Linked DNA regions of Struthio camelus. The protein of the gene in region 1 purifies or fractionates together with the protein of each later gene. This does not show direct contact. Links are inferred from orthologs where the notes say so. Each region holds a gene or a part of one and is shown in the gene's direction. Other genes may lie near its edges.

Region 1 (3,740 bases):
CAGCACTGACCGGAGCGGCCGCCCCGGGAGCATCGAGGTGGGGCAAGTCGGTGCAGAGCGTCCCCCCTCCTTCTTCGCCGGAGCGTAGAGAGGGCGAGGAGACCAGAGCGCCCCCTCCCCCCCCTCCCCCGGCTGCTCACCATAGAGACGGGATGGCGGCGCCTCTTGCTCCCGCTGATCATAGAGCAGAAGGCTGAGGGTAACTAGAGCGGCTCTAGGAGAACCATAAAGCTGAGAAGACGGAGGCAGGCAGAGGGCCCCCAGAGAGCCATAGAGAGCCAGTTCGGCTTCTTCCACGCCTAGACTGTCTCAGCCGCCCGCTGCCACCATAGAGAGGCGAGGCTATCGAGCCCCCGCTCCGTACTAACGTAAACACCATAGAGCCAGCGCGTGGAGGACTAGAGCGTCGCCCTGCGTGAGACGTAAACTCTAGCGCGGAGCGGCGGGCGGGGCCAGAGCGCCCCCCCCACCCCGAGCGCTGGGGGTCGCCATGGAGACCCCGGTCACCCCACCGCGCGGGGGGGGACGACGACATACAACACCCTCTCTTCCCGCCGGTACCTGAGAGGCGACAGTCGCCGGGGGGGGAAAGGGGGGGCGGCGGGGTTGAGGCAGGAGCCGGGACTCGTTCCCGCGCCCCCCCCCCGCTGTGATGCGGCCGGCGGAGGGATCTCACTGGAGGCGCCCGTGTCCTCACGTGCCCCTCCGCCCCCCCCAACCCGGCCGCGAGGAGAGGCGACGCACTGCGCATGCGCCCCACCCCCCCACCCCCTTCGGCGCGCGCATGCGCGGCCGCCGGATTTTGCGGGTTGGGGGGGAAGGCAGGCGGGTAGCCTCGGCCGCGCATGCGCAGCGCGGAGGGGGCGGGAGCGGCGCCCTTTGTGGCGGCGGCGCGCATGCGCGGCGGGAGGGGAGGGGGGACTACTTTTTTTTTTTTTTTTTTTTCCCTGCCGGCGGAGGAAACGCGCGTGGAGCGAAGCCGGTGCTGGAAGGGGGGGGGGCGTTTCCTCCGCCGTCACGTGAGCAAAAAGCGAAAGAGGCCGGGGAAGGGTTATTATTAAAAAAAAAGAAAAAGAGGGAAAAGCCGGCGCGGCGCGCATGCGCGGTGTCTCCCCGCCCATTGTGCGGAGGGACACAGGGCGCGAGGGGAGGCGCGCGCGCTGCGGCCGCCGGCGCCCCGGCCCCCCCTCCCCTCCCCTCCCCTCCCCGGTCGGCTCCGCCGCGCCCGGCTCCGCGCGCGCCGCCGCCGCCGCCACCCGCCGCCGCCACCCGCCGCCGCCGCCCCGCGCGCGCCCCCGGGCGGGGGGGGAGGGAGACGCCGCGCCGCCGCCGCCGCCGCCGCCATGTTGAAGCAGCCGCAGCCGCTGCCCCCGCAGCCCCCCGCCGCCGCCGCGGCGCCGCCGCCCGCCGCCCGCAAGGCCCCGCCGCCGCCGCCGCCGCCTCCCCCCGCCGCCGCCGCCGCCGCCGCCAGCCCTAACGGCAGCCTCAGCCCCGGCGGCGGAGCGGCCCGCGGCGGCGCGGCGGGGGGGGGGGGAGGCGCCGGAGGAAGCGGCGGCACCAGGTAACATCCGGGTCCTGCCGGGCCGGGAAAGGGGGGGGTTGGAGGGGGGGGTTGGAGGGGTTGGGAGGGGGGAAAGGAGGGAGCCCGGCGCTGATTGGCCGGCGGCGCGGCCAATCAGGGCGGGGGGAAGGGGCACGTGGGGGGGTGGACGCCCCCGCCCCCCCCCCCCCGCCGCGGCCTCCCCCAAGGGGGTGGAAGGGGCCCAGGTGTCCGGTGGGCCACAAGTGCCAGTGTGCCCCCCCCCCATCAGGGGGACCAGGGACCCAGGTGTCCGGGCCCCCCCCCATCAGGGGGACCCCGGTGTCCGGGCCCCCCCCATCAGGGAGACCAGGGACCCAGGTGTCCGGGCCCCCCCCCATCAGGGAGACCAAGGACCCAGGTGTCCAGGACTCCCCCCCCATCAGTGGCACCCAGGTATCCAGACCCCCCCATCAGTGGGACCAGGGGCCTAGCTGTCTGCCCCCCCCATCAGAGGGACCCAGGTGTCCGGGCCCCCCCATCAGTGGGACCCAGGTGTCCGGGCCCCCCCATCACTGGGACCAGGGACCCAGGTGTCCGGGCCCCCCCATCACTGGGACCAGGGACCCAAGTGTCCGGGCTCCGCCCGCGCCGCGGTCCCGGAGGCTGCACCCCCCCGGCCCCACTGGGCTGCGGGGACCCGGCACATCCCTCATTTGCGTTTCAGGGGCCAGAGCACGGGGAAGGGGCCCCCCCAGGCGCCGGTAAGTGACCAGCGAGCTCGGGGCGGGGGGGGGCGGCGGCGGCGCGGGGGCCGCTGGTTTGGGGGAGCCCCTCACCCCTCCGCCCCCCTCCCCGCAGGTCTTCGAGGGCGTCTACAACAACTCCCGCATGCTGCACTTCCTGACGGCCGTGGTGGTGAGTCCGCGGGGCGGCTCCGGCGCTGGGGGGGGCGGTCCCGGCGCTGGGGGGGGCAGCTGCGGTGCTGGGGGGCGCCCGGGCCGGGCCGCGGTCCATCGCCTCCCCCTCTCCCGCCCAGGGCTCCACCTGCGACGTCAAGGTGAAGAACGGCAGCACCTTCGAGGGCATCTTCAAGACGCTGAGCTCCAAGGTGAGTGCGGGCAGCGGCGGCCCCGGCCTCGGGCTGACGCCCCCGGCCCCGCCGTGACGCCCGCCCGTCCGTCCGTCCGTCCCCGCAGTTCGAGCTGGCGGTGGACGCCGTGCACCGGCGCAACCCCGACCAGCCCTCCGGCCCCAAGCGCGAGGACATCGTGGACACCATGGTCTTCAAACCCGCCGACGTCATGCTGGTGCACTTCCGCAACGTGGACTTCAACTACGCCACGAAAGGTGCGCGGGGAGGGGGCGGTAGAGCCGCGTTGGGGGGGGGGGGGGGCGGGCGACGGCCAGGCCTCACCCCCGCCCCCCCTGCAGACAAGTTCACCGACTCGGCCATCGCCATGAACTCGAAGGTGAACGGGGAGCACAAGGAGAAGGTGCTGCAGCGCTGGGAGGGGGGCGACAGCAACAGCGACGACTACGACCTGGATTCGGACATGGTGAGGGGCCGGGGCGGGGGCCGGGGCGGGGGCGGCGAGCGGCGCGGGCGGCCTCTGAGCCCTCTCCTCCCGCAGTCCAACGGCTGGGACCCCAACGAGATGTTCAAGTTCAACGAGGAGACCTACGGCGTGAAGACCACCTACGACAGCAGCCTCTCCTCCTACACGTGAGCGCGCCGGCAGGGCCGGGGCGGGGGGAGCAGGGGGTCCGGCCGCCGCCGCGGGGAGCCCCTGGCCGGGCTGACGCCGCGCGGGCCCCCCCCCGCAGGGTGCCGCTGGAGAAGGACAACTCGGAGGAGTTTCGGCAGCGGGAGGCCCGGGCGGCCCAGCTGGCGCGGGAGATCGAGTCGAGCCCGCAGTACCGGCTCCGCATCGCCATGGAGAACGACGACGGGCGCACGGAGGAGGAGAAGCACAGCTCGGTGCAGCGCCAGGGCTCCGGCCGCGACAGCCCCAGCCTGGCCGCCGCCAGGTCGGCCCCCCCGGCCCCTCCGAGCGCCCCCCGGCCCCTCCGAGCGCCCCCAGCCCCTCTGAGCGCCCCTCGCCTCTCTCCGCAGGGAGAGCAAGTACAACCCGCTGCCGCAGCGCGTGCGGGACGGGTCGCGCGGCGGCGTGCGCTGCGGCTCCTCCCGCGGCGGGCGGCCCGGGGTGGGCTCCCTCCC
Region 2 (3,740 bases), on another chromosome or scaffold:
AAGTAACACCTTAAGACAAAGGCAGTTTTGTTCCAGAAAACGCTTCGCCTGACACAGACTTCGGGGATTGCTGGGCGGCTTCTTTTCCTAGGATGCTTCTTTGTTGCAACCTTTACACATGCCCCCACAGAGTCCATACCATTTCCATTACTGAATACAAGTTACAGGTGGTGATTGTAACAGCTCTTGGGAAAATTGTACCTCCTGCCCTTGCCAGGGAGGATGGTTTAAAGTACTTTCTGAGGCCAGTGGCAAGCAGAAAAGACTTAACTCATCAAAAATGCTGAAGCTGGGCAACAGGCACCAAAAATCAAGGGTCTCCTTCTAAAAGACTGAAATTTTGATTGCCAAGCTCCTTACATCCAGAGCTTCAGTGAAAGAGGTGATTTGCTCCCAGAGTAGGTGTTGGCTGTGCCCTGGCACACACCCTCAAGTCTAGCTTGTCTTACCTTGGGAAGGAGGTACTGCAGAGGTAACTGTGTTTGCTGCTGGCCTACTGAGTTGATATTTGAATATTTGAACCTCAGAACTATTAGCTATTTTTTTAGTATACCTCAAATACACATACTGAAAAAGGGCTTCCTCAATTTTGCTGAGAAATCCTGAACTAAGCAAGCTATGAACAGGGGAAAGCTTCGCATGGGACACTGCTTTTAGTCCAACTTCATTTGCATCCTCTTATTTATTAGGTGGCTGGAGAGTCCTGCCAAATGCAAAACACTGCACCATTTAGCTGAAATCAGCCTCCAAAAAGAGAAAGGGGCCAACGGTGAAAACACCGGCGTGAACATAGCGAGCCTGACTGCCAACAAGCCCGCGCGCTGCTTAGCCGCACTGACACCAAGGACGCCCCCACCTCGACTCCACCACACTCGACAGCGCAGTAAGCACCTGCTGGAGAAACACACCCTTCTGATATTACTGCAAAACAGAAAAAAACGTAAGTCAAGCAGTACAAAGAACTCCTATAGCAAAGCCGCAGCAGCTGAGGAAAAGGCACCTCAGCGGCACTCGGGCGAACCATCGCTCGCCCCACCGCCTTCTCTGCCGCCCAAGAAGCCGGAAAGCGGTTGCCCCCGCGGGGGGCTGCGCGCCCCGAGCCCCGCCGCCCGTTGGGCCGCTAACGGTCGGCGCGCGCCCCGCCCACCTCCGTTCCGCCCCCGCGGGCTCGGCGGGAAGCCGGCGCCCCCCCCCCCCCGAACGTCACCGCGGCAAGCCACACGGGATTGGCGGAGAGCGCCCGAAAGGGGTTCCTGCCTGCTCACGCAGGGGCAAGACAGTACGGCCGGCGCGGCGGCGCATGCGCGCCCGCTCTCCTCCCCCTCCCTTCGCTTTTGCCCCCTCCCCTCTGCGCACGCGCGCGCACGCGCGCACGCACGGCCGCACGCGCGCACGGCCGCACGCACAGGCAGGCGCGCACGGGAGCCCCGGCCGCCCCTCCCCCGCCCGGCCGTGACATCGCTGCTGCTGCCGCCGCCGCCGCCGCCGCCGCGCCCCGATCGCCCCGTCCTTCCCCCCTCCCCCCGGCTGCGGCACCCGCCCGCGGACAGGCTCGCCGCGCCCGACACCGATCAGGTCCCGGGGGGGGTCGTGCCCCCGCCCCACACACCGAGACTTTTTCCCTGGGTGAGTGAGGGGCGAGCGGGGAGGTAGGCCCGGCGGCCGTTTAACGGTCGCGGCCGTTTAACGGTCGCGGCCCGCGCGCGCGCGCGCGGGGTCGGGGGGGAGGAAAGCGGCGCGGCGGGGCCCGGCTTCGCCCGGCGAGAGCCCTTCCCTGCCTCGGTGCGGCCCCGGCCCCGGCCCCGGGCCCGGCCGGCGGCGGCGGCGGCTCCCGGCCCGCCTCGTCGCCCGGTGCGCGGCGGGGGCGGCGGAGCGGGGCGCGGGGGGAGGCTTTTGTTCGCCGTCACCTTGGCGGTGCGTCGCCTCGGCGGCGCTCCCCCTTCCGCCTCGCCCCGGGCGCTGGCGGGAGGCGGGAGGAAAAAGCGCCCCCTCGGCCGCCGCTCCCAGGCGTGACGCCCCGGGCCCTGCGTTGCTTCGTGCTCTGCTGCAGCGTTCGTCCCTTTCATCCCTTCCCGTCGCTCGATTCGTGCGCTGCCTTCCGTGAGCCCCTAGAGGTATGTGGACTCCGGCGTGTACAGGATGCTGTTTCCCAGCCTCGTCTGTACTGCAGAAGCGACCTTAGTTTTTTATCCTCAGCTCACTGGGCTGCCCCTTTCCTTTTAGGGTTTGGTTCTGTGATAGCGTCACTGGCTTTAAAACCTTTTCCAGCCCAGGTCTTGCTAATTCCATGGACCGTGCCATTCTGTGCTCCCTTTTGCTCCAATCACACCCCGAGCTTTTCTGTTCTCACTCATAACATGGCTGAAGTTGCAAGCATCTTTTATTCTGCAGATCTAGATACCCTGAGCAGCCCTTTTGTGAGCGTCTCTTATTTCACGTCTGAGGTGAATATGGTATTCTCTGGCATTTCCTTCCCTTAATCCTGGATGGGTAAAGTAAAAGTCATTACAGTTCCAGAGTGGGTACATAGGAACGTCCTCTAGCATGAGTATTTTAACTTCCCTGGTTAGCTGAGTAACGCTTAGGATCTTGAGCGCTGTGCCAAGCACTGCTGCATGAAGGAAAGAACACTCTGTGGGATGAGAGAAGATGAGATTGTTGCTTGATCTGAAGCTAGACCGACTGACTCCAACCTGCAAGGTTTTTGATTGTAGCCTTCCATGTGGGTTTGGCAGTTCTTGAGCCCTCATTATATATTAGGCATTTCAAGTTCAGTGTACAAGCGTTCCTCTTCATTACAACAGGAAGTGTAAAGATACTAAAGCTAGTTTTCATCTCTTGAGAAACAGGATAAATTATTTTGTTCTTAGCGCAGTACTTGTGCAAGTCCACTACTTCTTATACTCAAGCTTCATATTTAAAGCCAGATCAGTGTCTTTGATCTGTAATTGGGTGGACCAGTAAAAAGAGAAAGACAACTTGTCATAGTAGGATGTTTGGGGCAAACATCCTACTAAAGCACTCACTGTTGCCTGAGGTATATCTTCTTTTCCTTTTTCTTGTTTCTTTTATTGCCAGTTTTAACTGGGGAGCACTAGTAAAGTAAGATCAGCTTGGTAGAAATGGTTACTCTGCAATTTAGGCTGCACTGTCCTACTCGATGGCCTGTAGGAGACTTAAAATGAAGTAATAGCAAGCAAGCACTACTCTGTATATCCAAGTCCCTGCGAGTAGCATAGTTGTGTTACCTCAGCTTGGTGAGTAGGTAAAGGGTTTGTCAACCTCCATTCTTAGCCAAGAAGGTGTTGTTACTGGCAACTTTTGCTTCTGGAGTTAATTTGTAATTAGCAAGACGTTCTCTGTTCATTCTGAACATAAGTACGCCTGCAGGGCCATATCTGCCTCTGGAAAGCTTTTTCATTCTTTAGGAAACATCCTTCTTCTGAACCTATTCCGGAAACTATTAGCTTGGGTTTAAGAAGTGTAATCCTTGTTTCCTGTTTTAAGTGTTCTTGTAATGTTCTAAGTGGTAGATGTGGGCTCACTGTATGGAATTATGATCCGTATCGTATGACTATTTTTCACAAGTAGAGTAAAATGTCTTCTATGATAGCTAACTTACTGGAGAGGGAAGTTACTGACCTTTCAACCCACTGATCCGCTGGTGTCCTTATAGGTAAACTGTTTGTATGGAGTTGAGATTTCAAATTTTACACCTGCTGTCACACTGGAAGTGTCTT
Region 3 (3,740 bases), on another chromosome or scaffold:
GCCTTGGAGGGGATGGGGGGGGAGTCTCCCTGGGGGGTGGCTGTCACCTAGGCCACCCCCCTGAGCTGCCCCTGCCCCTCCCCTGTCATAGCCCCCCCCAACTGCCCCTACGCCAGCTCTACTGCCTCCCCCGCACCCAGCTGCCCCCTCCCCAGCCCCAGTGGTCCCCCCTGCACCCAACTGCCCCCCTCAATGGTCCCCCTCGCACCCAGCTGCCCCCTCCCCAGTCCCATCGCCCCTCCACTCCCAATGGTCTCTCCCCACCCCAATGACCCCCCCCACATCCAACTGCTCCCTCCCCAATCTCACTGCCCCCCACACCCACCTGCCCCCTCCCCACCCTAATGGCCCCCCCACACCCAGCTGCCCCCTCCCCAATCCTACTGCCCCCCACACCCACCTGCCCCCTCCCCACCCCAATGACCCCCCCACACCCACCTGCCCCCTCCCCACCCCAATGACCCCCCCACACCCAGCTGCCCCCTCCCCAATCCTACTGCCCCCCACACCCACCTGCCCCCTCCCCACCCCAATGACCCCCCCACACCCACCTGCCCCCTCCCCACCCCAATGACCCCCCCACACCCAGCTGCCCCCTCCCCAATCCTACTGCCCCCCACACCCAGCTGCCCCCTCCCCACCCCAATGACCCCCCCACACCCAGCTGCCCCCTCCCCAATCCTACTGCCCCCCACACCCAGCTGCCCCCCTCCCCAAGTGCCCCCCCCCCAAGCCCCGCTGCTCCCCTCCCGCCCAACGGCCCCCCGGCCCCCCGCCCCTCCCCCACTCTTGCCCCGGTCCGTCCCCCGCGCTCACCCGCCGCCAGCCGCGGCCGCCCGCCCCTTCCGCCTACACTTCCCAGCAGCCCCAGCGGCGCCGGCCGGCCGGCTACGGGGCGACCCGAGGGACACGCGGCGCCGCGCCGCGCCTTCGCGGTGCCCGGCTGCCTTGGAGGCGGCGCGGCCGCGGGTCCCGGCGGGGCTCGGGCAGAAGCCCGGCGAGCCGCGGCGCCCCGGCGGCGGGAGGGGGGGGGCAGCGGCGGCGGCGCGGGTCCCCCCCTCCCCTGCCGCAAGGTCACCCCGCCCCGCGGCGGCGGCGGCGGCGCGCGCGCGGTGACGCGGCGCGGCGCGCGGCCCGGCCCCGCCCCGCCGCGCCGTGCCTGGCTGAGGCGAGCCGCGGCGGCCGCTGCTGGGGCTGAGACAAGATGGCGGCCCCGGGCGAGTACTTCAGTGTGGGCAGCCAGGTGTCGTGCCGCACCTGCCAGGAGCAGCGCCTCCAGGGCGAGGTCGTCGCCTTCGACTACCCCAGCAAGATGCTGGCGCTCAGTATCCCACCGGCCCGCGGGCGCGGCGCGGCGCGGCGCGGCGGGGTGGCCGGGGCCCGGCAGTGCCGGCCGGGCCTGGGGCGCCTGGGGGAGGAGGAGGAGGAAGGGGGGGGGTCTAAGGGGAGGCATGGCGAGGTGCTGGGGGGAGGTAGGGGAGCCGCGGGGGCGCTATAGGAGGGGAGGGGGGGCGGGGAGGCGGGGGGTGGTTGAGCGGGGGTCGGCGGGACCTGGGGGGCTCGGGGGGGAGCCCCACGAGGGGGGGTGTGGGAAGGGCCTGGAGGTATGGGTCGGCCCGGGTGGGGGCTGGGAGGGGAGCGTTAAGGGGGGGGTGGTCTTAGGAAGGGGGTGAGGAGCCCTAAAGGGGGGCTCTTGGTGGGGTGAGGAGTCTCGTAGGACCCTTGTGGGGTGCTCTTGGTGGGGGGAGGAGCCCTATAGAGGGGTGCTTGGTGGGGTGAAGAGCCCGGGGGGGGTTCTGGGGGGAGTGAGGAGCCCTATAGAGGGGTTTGGGGAGGGTGAGGAGCCCTAAAGGGGGGCTCTTGGTGGGGTGAGGAGTCTCGTAGGAGCGTTGTGGGGGGAGGAGCCCTATAGAGGGATGCTTGGTGGGGTGAAGAGGCCGGGGGGGGTTCTGGGGGGAGTGAGGAGCCCTATAGAGGGGTTTGGGGAGGGTGAGGAGCCCTAAGGGGGGGTTTATGAGGGGGTGGGGAGCCTTTATAAGGGGGTGGCTTGGAGATGGGGGGGAGCCCTACAGAGGGTTGGGGGGAGCACTATGGGGTTTTTAGGGGAGGCCTTGACAGCATGGTGAGGTCCTTTGGGGGGTAGGGATGCCCTGTGGGGTTCAGGGGGGTGGTGTCCTGTGAGGGGAGCCCTATAGGGGCAGGCTTGGGGTGATGGGGAGCCCTATGGGACAGTAGGCACAGGTCTTGGGGGGAGGATGAGGAGACCCAATGGGTATGAGGAGAGCGCTATAGAAAGAGCCTGGGAAAATAGAGAATCCTATAGGGGTGTTGGGGGGGGGGGGAGCCCTGCGGAGCTTTAAGACAAGGCCTTGAAGCTGTGGGGGGTTGGGAGGGAGCCTTATAGGGAGGGATGGAGGGTCTGTGGCAGGGCAGAGGGATGTCTTGTGACTGGGGGAGCCTTGAGGGGGCTATAGGGGGTCTCGTGGGAGGAATGGAGGTGGGTGAGGGGAGCCCTTGGGGGGGGGGTTGTGTGGGAAGTGGGGGTGTTTTCAGGAGTGGGAAATGGCCAGCTGTGGGGCAGGCCAGGTGCCCTGGGGTGTCAGAAAGGAGGCAGGGCGAGCTAGGGAACGGCTCTTGGGGGAAAGGAAGAGCCCTGAAGAGAAGGGCCCGGTAGGGAGGAGATGAGCTCTAGGACTGGGGTGTCTTGAAGGAAGAGTTGCGTCTGAATTTGGACTGGCTCAGGGGGAGGCTGAAGCTGTCTGGGTTCAGTGAGGAAGCGGAGCCTGCTCCTCGCAGCATGTCCAGGCACAGTGGCTGTGGTGGTGGGGTCATTGCGGGTGGAGGCCTAAGAAATGCCATGCGGTTGGGGGAGGGAAGGGGACGTGGGGCCTGGGATTGCATGGAGGAGAGGCAGAGAGGCAGTGGCAGGGGATTTAAAAATATATATAGACACACACACGCATGCACAAGCACGCACTTTTCTTTTTAACCTGCGAATATGGTGAGGGCAAAGGCTGTTATGAAACAGCAGAGGAACTGCAGAGAGTTCATGAAGGTCAATGCTCAGCCCAGGGAGTGGTGTTGGAAGTGGGCTGGAGAAGTGCTTGAGGTGGCTTGTTGGCTCCAGCGGCTGGTTCTGGAGGGAAGAAGTGAGTTGGGGAGGGAGTGAGAGAGGTTTGTGTTTGGAGACTGCAGCTAAGAGAAATACTGAAGGACATCAGGAAGCGCCCTGGAGAGTGCTTGGGACAGTGCTACAATTTTGGAGGGGTGCTAGGGAATAGGGACGTGAATAGTAAAGGAACTGTAATTCACCCTGGGACGTGGTTGTACAGTTCATACAGGGGAACCTCCCTGAGCCTGGATGCTGTAGGAAAGTCTTAAAAGATGTCCCACAGGTTGGCTCGGTGGATCAGGCTGACGGTCTGCCCGAGGGACGAGGTAGCAGTCTGAGAGCTCCCATTCAGGCTTTGCTGTAAGTCTGGATCTTTCTTCTAAAGTTGGGATGCTCCATCTTATCTGTCCAAAGAAAGAGACCGACTTGCACAGAGTTCCTTGGGCATCCTGAGTTTTCTCTCCATTATTGAAGGGCATTTGCTAGTGAGGTCTGCACCTGAGCAGCTGCTCAGACTGGCTCAAGGGAGATGGAAGGAGAAGAACACTGACCTCTGCGAGCCTCCCTTCCTAGGAGGAGACGCTGTTGATGTGGAAGAGAAGCCCACAGTGGCTGTGCTGTGTTCCTT

Evidence for each region.
Region 2: the proteins of ATXN2L (region 1) and G3BP2 purify together in Homo sapiens (affinity purification with mass spectrometry; 4 studies listed by BioGRID and IntAct, counting the BioPlex papers as one, with this or other methods). This does not show direct contact. The link is inferred for Struthio camelus from reciprocal best matches to the Homo sapiens genes ATXN2L and G3BP2.
Region 3: the proteins of ATXN2L (region 1) and LSM12 purify together in Homo sapiens (affinity purification with mass spectrometry; 4 studies listed by BioGRID and IntAct, with this or other methods). This does not show direct contact. The link is inferred for Struthio camelus from reciprocal best matches to the Homo sapiens genes ATXN2L and LSM12.

The regions. Positions count from the first base shown.
Region 1 is NC_090973.1:104,388-108,127, forward strand, and holds the start of ATXN2L (ataxin-2-like protein), read left to right. Parts: upstream 1-784; coding exon 785-808; intron 809-1,418; coding exon 1,419-1,561; intron 1,562-2,246; coding exon 2,247-2,283; intron 2,284-2,380; coding exon 2,381-2,437; intron 2,438-2,558; coding exon 2,559-2,630; intron 2,631-2,718; coding exon 2,719-2,869; intron 2,870-2,953; coding exon 2,954-3,078; intron 3,079-3,153; coding exon 3,154-3,245; intron 3,246-3,346; coding exon 3,347-3,550; intron 3,551-3,635; coding exon 3,636-3,740. UniProt on the Homo sapiens protein: Involved in the regulation of stress granule and P-body formation.
Region 2 is NC_090945.1:8,182,994-8,186,733, forward strand, and holds the start of G3BP2 (ras GTPase-activating protein-binding protein 2), read left to right. Parts: upstream 1-1,358; 5' UTR 1,359-1,626; intron 1,627-1,991; exon of another isoform or gene 1,992-2,114; intron 2,115-3,740.
Region 3 is NC_090966.1:4,695,983-4,699,722, forward strand, and holds the start of LSM12 (protein LSM12), read left to right. Parts: upstream 1-1,103; 5' UTR 1,104-1,204; coding exon 1,205-1,325; intron 1,326-3,740. UniProt on the Homo sapiens protein: Nicotinic acid adenine dinucleotide phosphate (NAADP) binding protein. Confers NAADP sensitivity to the two pore channel complex (TPCs) by acting as TPC accessory protein necessary for NAADP-evoked Ca(2+) release.